Linked DNA regions of Elephas maximus indicus. The protein of the gene in region 2 interacts with the protein of the main gene of each other region in a pairwise test. Links are inferred from orthologs where the notes say so. Each region holds a gene or a part of one and is shown on either strand. Other genes may lie near its edges. The genes, in order: ARF3, ARFIP2 and MAL2.

The links.
Region 1: the proteins of ARFIP2 (region 2) and ARF3 interact in a two-hybrid assay, tested with the Homo sapiens proteins (2 studies listed by BioGRID and IntAct). The link is inferred for Elephas maximus indicus from reciprocal best matches to the Homo sapiens genes ARFIP2 and ARF3.
Region 3: the proteins of ARFIP2 (region 2) and MAL2 interact in binary tests that used the Homo sapiens proteins (3 or more experiments, as listed by UniProt). The two-hybrid records come from large-scale screens. The link is inferred for Elephas maximus indicus from reciprocal best matches to the Homo sapiens genes ARFIP2 and MAL2.

Annotation. Positions count from the first base shown.
Region 1 is NC_064822.1:104,375,908-104,379,655, forward strand, and holds the start of ARF3 (ADP-ribosylation factor 3), read right to left. Parts: upstream 2,871-3,748; 5' UTR 2,758-2,870; coding exon 2,694-2,757; intron 1-2,693.
Region 2 is NC_064825.1:60,136,390-60,140,137, forward strand, and holds the start of ARFIP2 (arfaptin-2), read right to left. Parts: upstream 2,189-3,748; 5' UTR 1,976-2,188; intron 1,284-1,975; 5' UTR 1,242-1,283; coding exon 1,143-1,241; intron 907-1,142; coding exon 810-906; intron 147-809; coding exon 28-146; intron 1-27. Other genes in the region: TIMM10B (mitochondrial import inner membrane translocase subunit Tim10 B), read left to right, coding at 2,371-2,397, 2,592-2,687, 2,888-3,064. UniProt on the Homo sapiens protein: Plays a role in constitutive metalloproteinase (MMP) secretion from the trans Golgi network. May have important functions during vesicle biogenesis at certain cargo subdomains, which could be predominantly utilized by secreted MMPs, such as MMP7 and MMP2.
Region 3 is NC_064833.1:23,295,969-23,299,716, reverse strand, and holds the start of MAL2 (protein MAL2), read left to right. Parts: upstream 1-973; 5' UTR 974-1,066; coding exon 1,067-1,198; intron 1,199-3,748. UniProt on the Homo sapiens protein: Member of the machinery of polarized transport. Required for the indirect transcytotic route at the step of the egress of the transcytosing cargo from perinuclear endosomes in order for it to travel to the apical surface via a raft-dependent pathway.

The DNA.
Region 1 (3,748 bases), on a different chromosome or scaffold from region 2:
TAGAGATAGAACTCTTTATTAGCTAAAATCAGGTGCAAATAGAAGGTAGTTTATTTGGATGCAGCATGGTAAGTAAAAGTGATGAGGGATGATGCTGGAGAGATAAGCAGGAGGGCTAGATTTTAAAGAGCCTTAAAGACCAGGCTGAGTAACATGTTCAGGTATGTACTTTAGAAAGCTCATTCTGGCAGCAGTTTATGGAATGAATAAGACGGGAGAAAGACTAGAGGCAGAGAGAGCACTTGGGTAACAGTAACACAGATGAGAAATTACGAGTTCTTAACTAGGGGTGGCATTAGAGAGGAGAGGGCAGATTGGAAACATTTGGTAGAAGCCACAGGATTTAATGACTGATTAAATGTAGAAGGAAGAAGAGTCAAAGATAACTCCCAGGTTTCTGGCCTGGGTGAGTGGGTGACATTTCCCAGATAAAAAATACAAAAGGAAGAGTTCTGGCGGAGGGGGGGCGGGGGATTTTTTTTTTTTTTTATATTAAACGTTGATTTTGAGGCGTTAAGGTACAAAGCTCAGTAGAAAAGTCTGGGCAGGGTATTTGAGAATCATCTGTGCAGATGGTAACTGAAACTGTAAGAGGAACCAAGATAACCTAGGGTGGCAACAAATATTGGCTGCCTCCCCAACAGCCATTCTCTCCCCCTTCTCTCTTCTAATAGAATTTCTATTTTGTTCAGATGATGGAGGGGGGGGATATGAGATGTGCTGCAAGCAAGATGGCCTCTCTCTAGCCCAGGCAATGAACCGATTAACCTAAAGAATCTGGGCATTCCATTGCTCTTGCCAGGGATTGGGTCAGGAACGGGCATGTACTAATTCTAGTCAATAAGATGTGGTAAAAGTCTGCTGGAAGCATCTGGAAAAGTTTTTCTCAACCTTAAAAAAAGGACATATGGCACTGTTTTCTCTCTAGCCTTTGGATGTTGATATGTAAGGATGATGCTTGGAGCTGCTGGAGTAATCTTGAAACCATGAGGGGACAGACATGAGAACCCTAGGATGTCAGAGCAGAAAAAAGGGGAAAACTTGGGTCCTTAATGACATTGTCAAGCTGGTGGATTAAAAAATCAAACAAAGAAGAAGTGTCTATCCCTAGACTTGTTATGTGATTTAATAAATCCCATTATTGTTTGACCCACATATGTGTTCTCTATCTTTTGCACCTGAAACATCCTAACTGATATAGAGTGTATACAGTGGGATGGGAGAAAAGGTCAAATGTAGAAACCTGGGACACATCAACAGTTAAAGTAGTGGGCAGACAAAGAGCCAGGAATGAAACTACGAAATAAGATGGGTAGAAGGGAAATCAAGAGGGCAAGATATACAGGCACCAGTGAGGAAACAGCATAAAAAAGGAGAGAGGGTGAAAGGCTGTAGATAAAGCCTGAAAGGAACCTACAGAACTACTAGGCAATCAATGAGGACCTTGGTATAAACTAGAACATATCCAAATAAAATTAGACCCCGCTTAACTCAATTACAGTAGTAGTGTTCAGGCTCAGGCCAGAAATGTTATGCCAGTTTCCCTTCTAGTCCTAACCAGAGACAAAAAGGGTTCTCAAGAAGACTCCAAAACAGAAACACCTGAAGGAGGCCACAGCTACCAAGCAAAGGAGGATCCTGAACGTCCCTGTCTGTTGGAGACTCAACCCTCTGGGAAGGGTCTAGCTTTTCCATGAACAACCCTCAGCAACTGAGTCAGGAGAGAGCATTCAGGGTCTATTTCAGAATTCCTGGCCTAGCCAAACGAAACAATGACCAGATAAAAACTCATTTGTTTCTTTAAAATATTCTGTGGCACTGCCCTCTGACCAAAGCTTTCAGCTTGTCCTATTCTGAGAATTTGACCAGTTTACAACTGTTTCTGATATTCTATGGCTGTTTCAATCCCCACATCTATAGCCTTACTTATCCAGAAAACTGTGCTTGCCCAATTGCAAAATCAACTGAAATTCAAACATAGTTAGCCTAAAGCCCTAAACCTTTATTTCCAATTTGGTCCCCCAGAGTAGGTCAAGATGGTAGCTGACAGCAAAGAGATCAAACAGGAAGCCAAGGTCTGGACAAGGCCAACCATTATAGAATAGTTTATGGATATGGGAAGCCCTGGGGGCACAGTGGTCAAGAGCCCGGCTACTAACCAAAAGGTCAGCTGTCTGAATCCACCAGCCATTCCCTGGAAACTCTATGGGGCAGTTGTACTCTGTCCTGTAGGGTCACTGAGTCAGAACTGATTCGACGGCAACGGGTTTTAAAAAAAAAAAGGGATGAACAGAAAACTGCCTACCTTGGGGAATAAGAGTTGTCGGCTCCCTCAGCACCTCAAACACACTTCTACTCTAGGACTTACCATAGTATGTTTAATTCGTCTTTGTCTGTTTCTCTCTCCAGAGCTGATGTTTCCCAAACAATGTGCCTCTAACGTGTTATAGGTCAGGTGGAGATACTGATCCCAGCAGCTACTAGATGGCTGGGCAGGGAATGGAATGGCTAGAGCCCTTGGGCCAGTCATTTCAGGTTTCAAGCAGCTGTGTGTGCATCACTATTACTATTTTCTGCATATGCCAGGACGGGGAAAAAGCTAGGAAGTACTTCACTAAAACTATGAGCCCCTTACCAACAGGGACCATGCTTTATTCTATTTTGTGTCCCCGGGATCCAGCACTATGACTGACCTGTAGCTAGTGATTGACATGCTTCTTGTTGAACAGCATGGCTCTCATTACGGTGGCAAAGCATTTGAGAGGCTGAGAAAGACAGAATTCTATAGATGATCCCCAGTCCTTTTCCTGTATGTGACAAACTGGAGATGTGGTTTCCATGTTCTCAGAGCCCTAGGTTCCTTGGACAGGATTCAGAGGTTGCCTGGGTGGGGAGGAGGAATCATATGAGGGCTCTAATTATTCTCCCAACTCCCCAGTACCACCAGAGCAGCTCCACTTTTATCCATTTTATAAACAAAAGCAAGATTTTATTTAAGGAAAAGTTTCAAAGCCTTAAAAAAAAAGAAAGGACAAAAACCACTGCAACAGAGAACAAATACTCCACTACATTCTAAACTCAGGCTAAAGTTTAAACATTCATGCTTGACACTCCTGTACATAAGTTAATAAAGGAAAGGTTATGCCAGGGTCTCATCAGTAACGGAGTTCTAAAAGGTACCAGGAGAACTGCCACACCCAGCCATCTCACCTTTCTTCAGGAATATGCTGAAAATGGTGGATCCCTGAAATCTTGAAGCATGTCCTTTCTGATGCATATGGTGTGGCAGATCCCTTGCAGAAGTCTATTACAAAGCTCTTATGCGTTTGTCAAATCCCCACCTCAGTCAGTTCTTTCTCATACTACGTACCAAAGCTTCCAAACATTCGTGAGACTCTTTCTAAACGCTCCCCATGTCTTTTTGTTATCAAAAAGCTTTATTAGTACTCTACCTATATTTGCAACAGATGCGGTAGATGGAGAATTACAAAGATATCACAATCTGGACCTTAATACAGTGCATTCTGAAACAGATACTCAGAGGCGGACATTTAACATAGAGCTAACTAAATAGAAAGAGTGGCCCAGGAAATGGAGAATCCTGAAATACTGATCAAGGACTAAAATAATGGAACCCAAGAACCTAAATCCCTGACCTGTGTCAATCAGCGTGTTCTTTTATGGAAAAATCAACCAATATGTCAGAGCCACATTGACTTTTCTAACATGTGCACTATTCTTGAGCCCC
Region 2 (3,748 bases):
AGATAGGAAAAGTTGTTTGAGTCCCACCTTGTATGTGTTGATGCCCCATTTCTTGACGATGTCAAACTTCTCTCCAGCGATGCCCCGAGCCACCTCATCTCCAGGGCCAGTGGGAGTGGCACTGTGAGATGGATGCCGGCCAGACCCTAAAGGACCAAGTTCTCTGACACCAGCCTCTCTCAGATACAACCAGACACCTCTGTGGCCCCATCCATACTTCCCTCCCAGCACATAAAAATGACATCTCTGAAGCAGCTGAATGCTTCAGACACAATGAGATCCTCCTGCTCACTAGGGGGAACTAGTACCTTGCACCCCAAGACCTAAATCCCAGCATACATCTCCATGAGTTCCTCTGGCCATCTTCTGATGGGGTCAATGATGATGGGATCTGGTAACAGGAAACCTGGTGACTTTCCCATGTGGAATCCCAGTCTGTGTAAGGTTCAGGGCTGTTTGTTCCTCTAAACTTTAGAGTCTGAAGTAAAACCCCGAGAAGTCTCACAAAGTTCCAAATAAGTCTTAAGCTCCAAACCAAGGGAACTCCTGTGAACTAGACATCTTAACCTGGCTCAGGTGGTGGCAGTCGAAAAAGGATAAAAAGGTGCATCTGAGGGGCTAAGTAGCAAGTGGTAGCAGAAGGCCAACGCTGGCAGCTGGTCTTCGGCTGAATACATTGGGGTTCATACTGGCAGGAGTTCCCAAGACCGCCAGACATAATTCAAGTGTCCCTAGGCATATCCTAAGCTCCCCAGAACCATTCCTGTCCCCACTGTGGACTCAAGCTTTTTGTCTCTGATTATTCATACCTGTTGGGATGAGTCCATCACCAGAGCCCCCATAGCCACCAGACACAATGCTGGTTTCATTAAGGTTGGGTCCTGACACCATCACCTGCTGGAGGTCCTATAGGCCAGAGAAGAGGGAGGCTTCAGGAACATAGGGGCAGCTGAATCATTTTGGGGGTGGGAACAAGGTTGGATTGAAGCATCACAGAGAGAGCAAGGGATATCTGCACAGAATCAGAATGAAGATTTATAAAAAGATTGACAGGAGTTAGATAAGGGAAAGGCTACTGGAATGGAATAAGAGCCCAGAGTTTGAGTTGGGATTTGATTAGGAGAAGAATCAAAGAAAAGCACCTGCTCCAGCCCATCATCCTCAGGAAGCTGCCCAGCTTCACCGTTCCCGTGAATAGGGATCTCCATTGTGGCTGCCTTCCCTAAGATCCCGTCCGTCATGGCTGGGGCAGGGACTGGAGTCAAAGTCTCCACCCCTGGGCCCTGCAAAGCCCAACACAGGTGGTTTTGGGAAGTTGCCAGCACTCCAGAAGGGGAAGACCTCTCTTGCCATTTCTGAGGTTTTAGAGGTTATCCCCAGCACTTAAGCATGTCCTGGGTTCAGCTACCACTCCTTTCCCTAGATATATGAATTTATCCTCTCCAAGGTGCACATTTTTATACATGCACACCTAGGTCTCAGGTGTCTTCTCATAACCTCCCAAGCCCACCAGGACTCAGGTAATCATTCATTCATTCAACAGATGCTAGATGAGTGCCTGCATTGTGTCAGGCACGATTTGAGGCCCTGGGAATACAGCAGTAAACAACAGAGATAAAGTCTGTGCCCTCTTGGAGCTTATTCCATTCAGGTGTGTCTTCCCCCCTCCTCCCACCAGGAGATGAACCCCTTCCCAGGGCTCTGGTGCCCACTCGCCATTCAGGTATGTGCTGCACTGCTTGTCCTTTACCACTCCTTTAGTGTTTCTTCCCCCTTCCTTCAAGTGGTCGCTCCTTCCTCCATCCCACGCACCTCTTTCTCCTTCTCAGGCCCTCCCTACCAGGCCTTAGTTGAATCAGTTGGTGTATGTTTCCCGCCTCTGGTAAAAGCCTCTTCCTTCCAGGACATAAGTGATCCCTTCCAAAGTCAGTTATGTCTTCCCAGGTGTGTGAGTCCCCGCCCCTCCCCCATTCACCTGGGCATCAGGTGTGCGCTCATCCTTCCCCAGTGCTCAGGAGCATCTTGCCCTCAGGTTTGTGCGTTCAACTCCCTCTCGCCCAAGTATGTCCCTCTCACCTCGGGCCGGGCCGTTCTTCCCCTCAGGGCGCCAGACCCGGGCGGCGCGGGGACCTCGGGCTCCAGTTCCCGTCGCGATCCTAGCCGCAGGTCAGGGACTCGGCGGAAGTGACGTCCCCTCCCGGGCAGAAGAAGCCGGCCACGTCGCAGATTATAAGGGCGGAAGTGACGTTGGCTGCCGAGGGCAGGGCGATCCTTGAGCCAACCCCTCAGTCCTTGGGGAACGGCCAGAGATTACTTCCGGGGTGTTTTCAAGCTGAAACGGAAGAGATGTAGGCGGGCGGCGGCGGCGTGATGGAGCCGCAGCAGCAGCTGAGAAACGTGAGTCGGGATTAAGTTGCTCCAGAGCCATACCTTCAGCTCCCATGCCTGTTAACGTCGCGGGTACCCCAAAGAGCCAGGGATCCGAGGGCTGAGAACTTCAGGCTGTGGTGCGCGACCCAGGGCAACCCCGGGAGGCTGGGCTGAATTGAGGGACACCTTATCGCTGAGTTCCTGGTCCCTTTTACCGGCAGTTGCGGGACTTCCTGTTGGTCTACAATCGGATGACAGAACTCTGCTTCCAGCGCTGCGTGCCCAGCCTGCACCACCGAGCTCTGGACGCTGAGGAGGTGGGGGCCTGAGTAGGGTTAGGGAGGTTATCCTCGATCCTCAAAGTTCACGGTAGTCAGCTTCCCAACCCCACCACTCATTTCCACTTCTGGCCTTGGCCTTTTCACGGCCTTCACCCCTAGGCTGGGGTTGGGGAAGGAAGGAGATGGGGCCTGACAGGACCCCTTTGGCCCCTACTTCCACCCTATCTTCTTTTTAGGAGGCCTGTTTGCACAGCTGTGCTGGGAAGCTGATCCATTCCAACCACCGTCTCATGGCCGCTTATGTGAAGCTCATGCCTGCCCTGGTACAGCGCCGCATCGCAGACTATGAGGCTGCCTCAGCCATGCCAGGTGTTGCTGCTGAACGGCCTGGAGCCTCGCCATCTGGCACCTAGCTGTTTCCCACCCCAGAAGGGGAGGGGCTGGACGGACCCTTGGGCTGAGTAGAGCTTGTACAGAGAACGTGAGGAGTAGCCTGAGAGATGGGTACCTTTGCTCCTTTTCCTGGAGCTAATAAACCTGCTTTTTCACTGTGTTTCATTGGGGGGTGGGGGGGAGGAGGGGAGGAACCCACTTTATTGGCACCATCATTTGTTTTGTCAGTTAGTGCATATCTATTAACTTCAGCTCTGGCTGCCAAGAAGTTGCCTTCTGTGTGGAGAAGGAAAACCTCAGTATCCCAGGCTCCTGGTTAAAGTAGGGTCTGTGGATACAGTTTTAAGGTTGGTGTGAGCAACAGGATGTTGGTTCCTGCCCAGATGACAAAATATGAGCCCTGTCTAGCTGTCCTTGAGACTGAAATGGCTCATTTGTGAGCCAAGTATGTGTTAGTTCATAACTGTTTTTTCATGGACTATATCTTTTAAGAAAGGATTCTGCCAAGTCTAGGGAAGGCAGGAGATAACCAAGAAACCACAGGGCTTCTAGGTGCTACCTCCTATGAAATTAGTGACATAGAACGGAGATGAAACTTGTAAGAATTCTGGAGTGTTCTGGAACTTCTACCATTTCCCTGGGCCACTTTCTTAATATTTTCTGTCTTCTCAGGATGAGCAATAAAAGCTTTAAACAGTGGAGGT
Region 3 (3,748 bases), on a different chromosome or scaffold from region 2:
GACATTTCCAGTACATATGGGAGAAATTGGAGGGAAAGAAGGGATAACCAGCGCCAAGCAAGTCCAAAACCCAGCAGAACAATTTACATGAGCTCTCTAAGGCTTGAAAATAATCCTCTGTTCTTGAGACCATCTAGGCAGTGGCCCCGTCCTCCACACTCTGGTGTTGGCCATGCTCTCTGGATTCTGGGTAGAGGCCCCTGGGCCCTGGGCTTCAGCTCCACCTTCCAGGTCCACTGGGAGGGCAATTCTGCTTGTCATCAGATAATATTTAAGGCGTCCCCATGAGTCTGGGGCACTGGACAGCAACTGACAACAACTGTCTTTGCTAAGCTCTTTTCTCATGTTATATCATCCAATCCACACGTTCTTTGAGGTAGGGACCTTCATCCCCACTTCACAGAAAAGGATACCAAAGGCGAGCAAAACAGCTAGTTACCTTCGGGGATCCAAAGCTAGGTGTTAGAGCTGTGAGGCATCGGACTCCAACGTGCCACGTTGCCTCAGTGGCGTTTTAAACCCTCCCCCCATGGCCTCATATAAAACGCATTCACCCTACTTTTTAGGTGTGGCTGGTGACTTCAATTTTACCTTCTGAGTCACAGACCCACAACCAGTCCTACCGTTGAATTGAGGAAAGGAGAAGGGACTGTAAAAGTTGGATGGAGGACAGGTGGAAGAGAACAGGTGGAACCAAGAGAACGGACAGAAGAGAAAATAAAGACCAGGCGGCCTTCAGAGGCTCCAGGGAGCGCAGGGTGGTGGCCCACGGGGGAGAGGGAAACAAGAACCTAGCACTGAGAATTGTGCCAGGCGACGGCCACACCTGTGCACGTGACCGCGCGGGCGCCGGGGCGGAGGCGCGCTCACCTGGGCCCACGTGACGGGGCGGGGCCGCCGCGAGTCGCAGCCCCGCGCGGCCACGCCCCCTCCCGCGCGGCGCGCCCGGACCCCGCGGACCCGAGCGGCGGCGGCGGCGGCGGCGGCGGCGGCGGCGGGAGCCCGGCCGGCGGAGGCGGGAGGCGGCGGAGACGGCTCGCGGAGACGCAGAAGTGGTAGCTGCAGCATGTCGGCCGGCGGAGCGTCAGTCCCGCCGCCCCCGAACCCCGCCGCGTCCTTCCCTTCGCCCCGGGTCACTCTGCCCGTCGGCTTTGACATCCTGCGAACCTACTCCGGCGCCTTCGTCTGCCTGGAGATTGTAAGTGGGGCAGCCTCGGTGCGGGGCGCACCGGGGGAGCGGGGACAGGCGCGGCATCCTTGTGTCTTGGCTCCCTCTACCTCCCCGAGCTTCCCTCCCCTCCATGTGGCCTTCCCTGCGTCCTCCCCCCAGGTCCTCGCCGTGTCCAGCGCAGCCGGAACCTGGCGGCGGCGCAGTCACCCGGGCCCTCTCGCCTGGCACCTGTTACGCTGGCACCTGCTCCTCCGCCGCTGGCAGGAATGGCCTTGAGAGAGGGAGCTGGCGGCCTGTTGAGGCCGAGGATTGGGGGCTTCTAGGGCAAAGGGGTGTTTGGACTTGGGGGCGCCGTCAGAGACCCACGGCGGCTTGGCCAGGGGCCACGCTTGGCTAGAGTCAGAGCAGGCGCTCTTGACCTCGCCTGTTGCTAACCTGCCATTTTGTTGGGTGGTGAGAAGTTGTAGTCGATGACTGGGTGACCAGAGGCTGCCAGGATCGGATAGAGGGGACGAGAGGCACCAGGAAGAGGAAAGAGAGGGCAGAAGACCTGGACGTGTCTTTTTTAAAATTTTTCCTTGCAATTTTTAGTGCCCTTTGGGTTGGGGAGAGGCGCGGGTTCAGGACGCAGGGCAGGGAGAAAGGTGAGGTATGTACATGCACTTGACAGTTCCCTAACCAAGTGGGCATGAGAATGGTGGAGGAAAGGTGGAAACGGGGCTGTCAAGTTCCTCGCTGCCGGCTGTTGCGCCTTCTTCCTTGTCTAAGCACACAGTTTCGCCCAGGTAGAGATGGGGTCACCAGGGCTGTCATGCAACCTCTTTAGACTAGATAGAAACTTTTTTTTTAAGTAATTTTGTAGAGCTGGACGCTTTTGAAGCTTATTGTGGACAAGGGGGAAGTGTGCAAATAAAAATTGGGCAACGAGCTTGCATCATGCCTTGAGAATGGCAAATAGTGAAATGTTAGGGAGTCTGCCTTTCCTGCAGGCTGGTTTTGTTTGCTCCGTTTGGGAGTTTTCATCTCTCCCTTCACCCCCTCCTTTGGGTTTGCATAACCTGGATTTGGGTCGCTTCGGTTTCACTTTTGGGCTGTGGGGCTGGAACACCTGGTGAGCATTGGTTTCCTGCCCTACTATGCTTAGATGGCTGAGGCATCGTATGTTAAGTTTAGCTCAGATTTGAATCTGCAAAAGGAGACACATATGAGTTACAGGCTAAGTCATCAGTAATGGCAACCTGACTGTGAGTCTAAGAAAGGCTGCTTTGAGTTTGAGCCCAGATCAGAAGCATCTAAATGCTTCTGATGACATCCAGGTGAGCGAGAGCAGGGCGATGTCATTCGGCTGGCTGAGCTGCTTGGGGAGGGAGACAAGCTAAAAAAATAGCAAGATCTGTGATGAAAAATTTTAAGAGCTCGGCCGCTTGAATCCGCCAGCAGCACCTTGGAAACCTACTACTCTGTCTTATAGGGTCTACTCTGTCCTGCAGGGTCCCTATGAGTCGGAATGTACTCAATAGTGGTGGGAATGGAGGCTGCCTTAGTCCTGTTGTTCCCCAAACTCCAGCTGTTTGCATACTTCTTTTATAAGTGTCTGCCATATCCGCATTCCAGTGTGCTAGAATTTACATAATGTTCACTTAAATAGACTCTACGGTACCCACCTTATCCTCATTCTAAGTGTTAATATACATGAAATCTCAAATTAGATATGCTGATTATATTTTTAGTACATATTCAAATATGTATATTTCTACATATTAAATCTGTATTCGTGTATCCACAGCTTATCTATATTTACATCTAGATATAGATATATGAATAAAGAAGGCTTATCCACGTGCCATCCAACCAAGAGCCACCTATGGTCATGTCACACTTTTGATAACAGTGCCTAACTCTGAGGGGAAAAACTGGAAGGTGGCTCATTCAACTTTCTCTTCCCCTGGGTGCCCATATTTCTTTTTGATCTAGCCTAGTGGTTGATTCTCGACTGCCCCTGTACCTAATCACTTGAACAGTTTTTAAAAATACAGTTGCCAGCCCCAGACTAATTTAATAAGAGTCCCTGGGGGTGTGCCCAGAGTCAGCTAGGCTTTTTTTTTTTGAAAGCTCCCCTGGAGATTCTGATTCACAGCCATGGCTCGAACCATAGATGGAGCTCTTCATCAAGACTCTATAGAGAAGACAGCTCTTCTCTTGCAAAGGTGAACTCTGTCATGTGCTAAAGCTGCTTTCCACTCCCCATCCTAGGAGGGATCCCAGTGTCCCAGAAGTATCCAGTCCATTCTCCTTATCTCTTCATTTCCTCTGGCTTCTTTCCCCTGAGACCAGAGCTTCAAACCCATTAATTTCCCAGTCCGGCCCCCTGCTGAGAATTTGGATTTCTCCGGTAGGTATACTGAATCGGAATCTACATTTTGACAATATCCCTCAGGTGATTCTTATATAGAATAAGTTTTGAGAACACTGCTATGCTAGTGGTTCTCGGAATTGGTCCCTAATCAGCAGTATTAGGATTGCTCGGGAACTTGTTAGAAATGCAGATTCTCAGCAGGGGTTCGAACCTAACAGAAG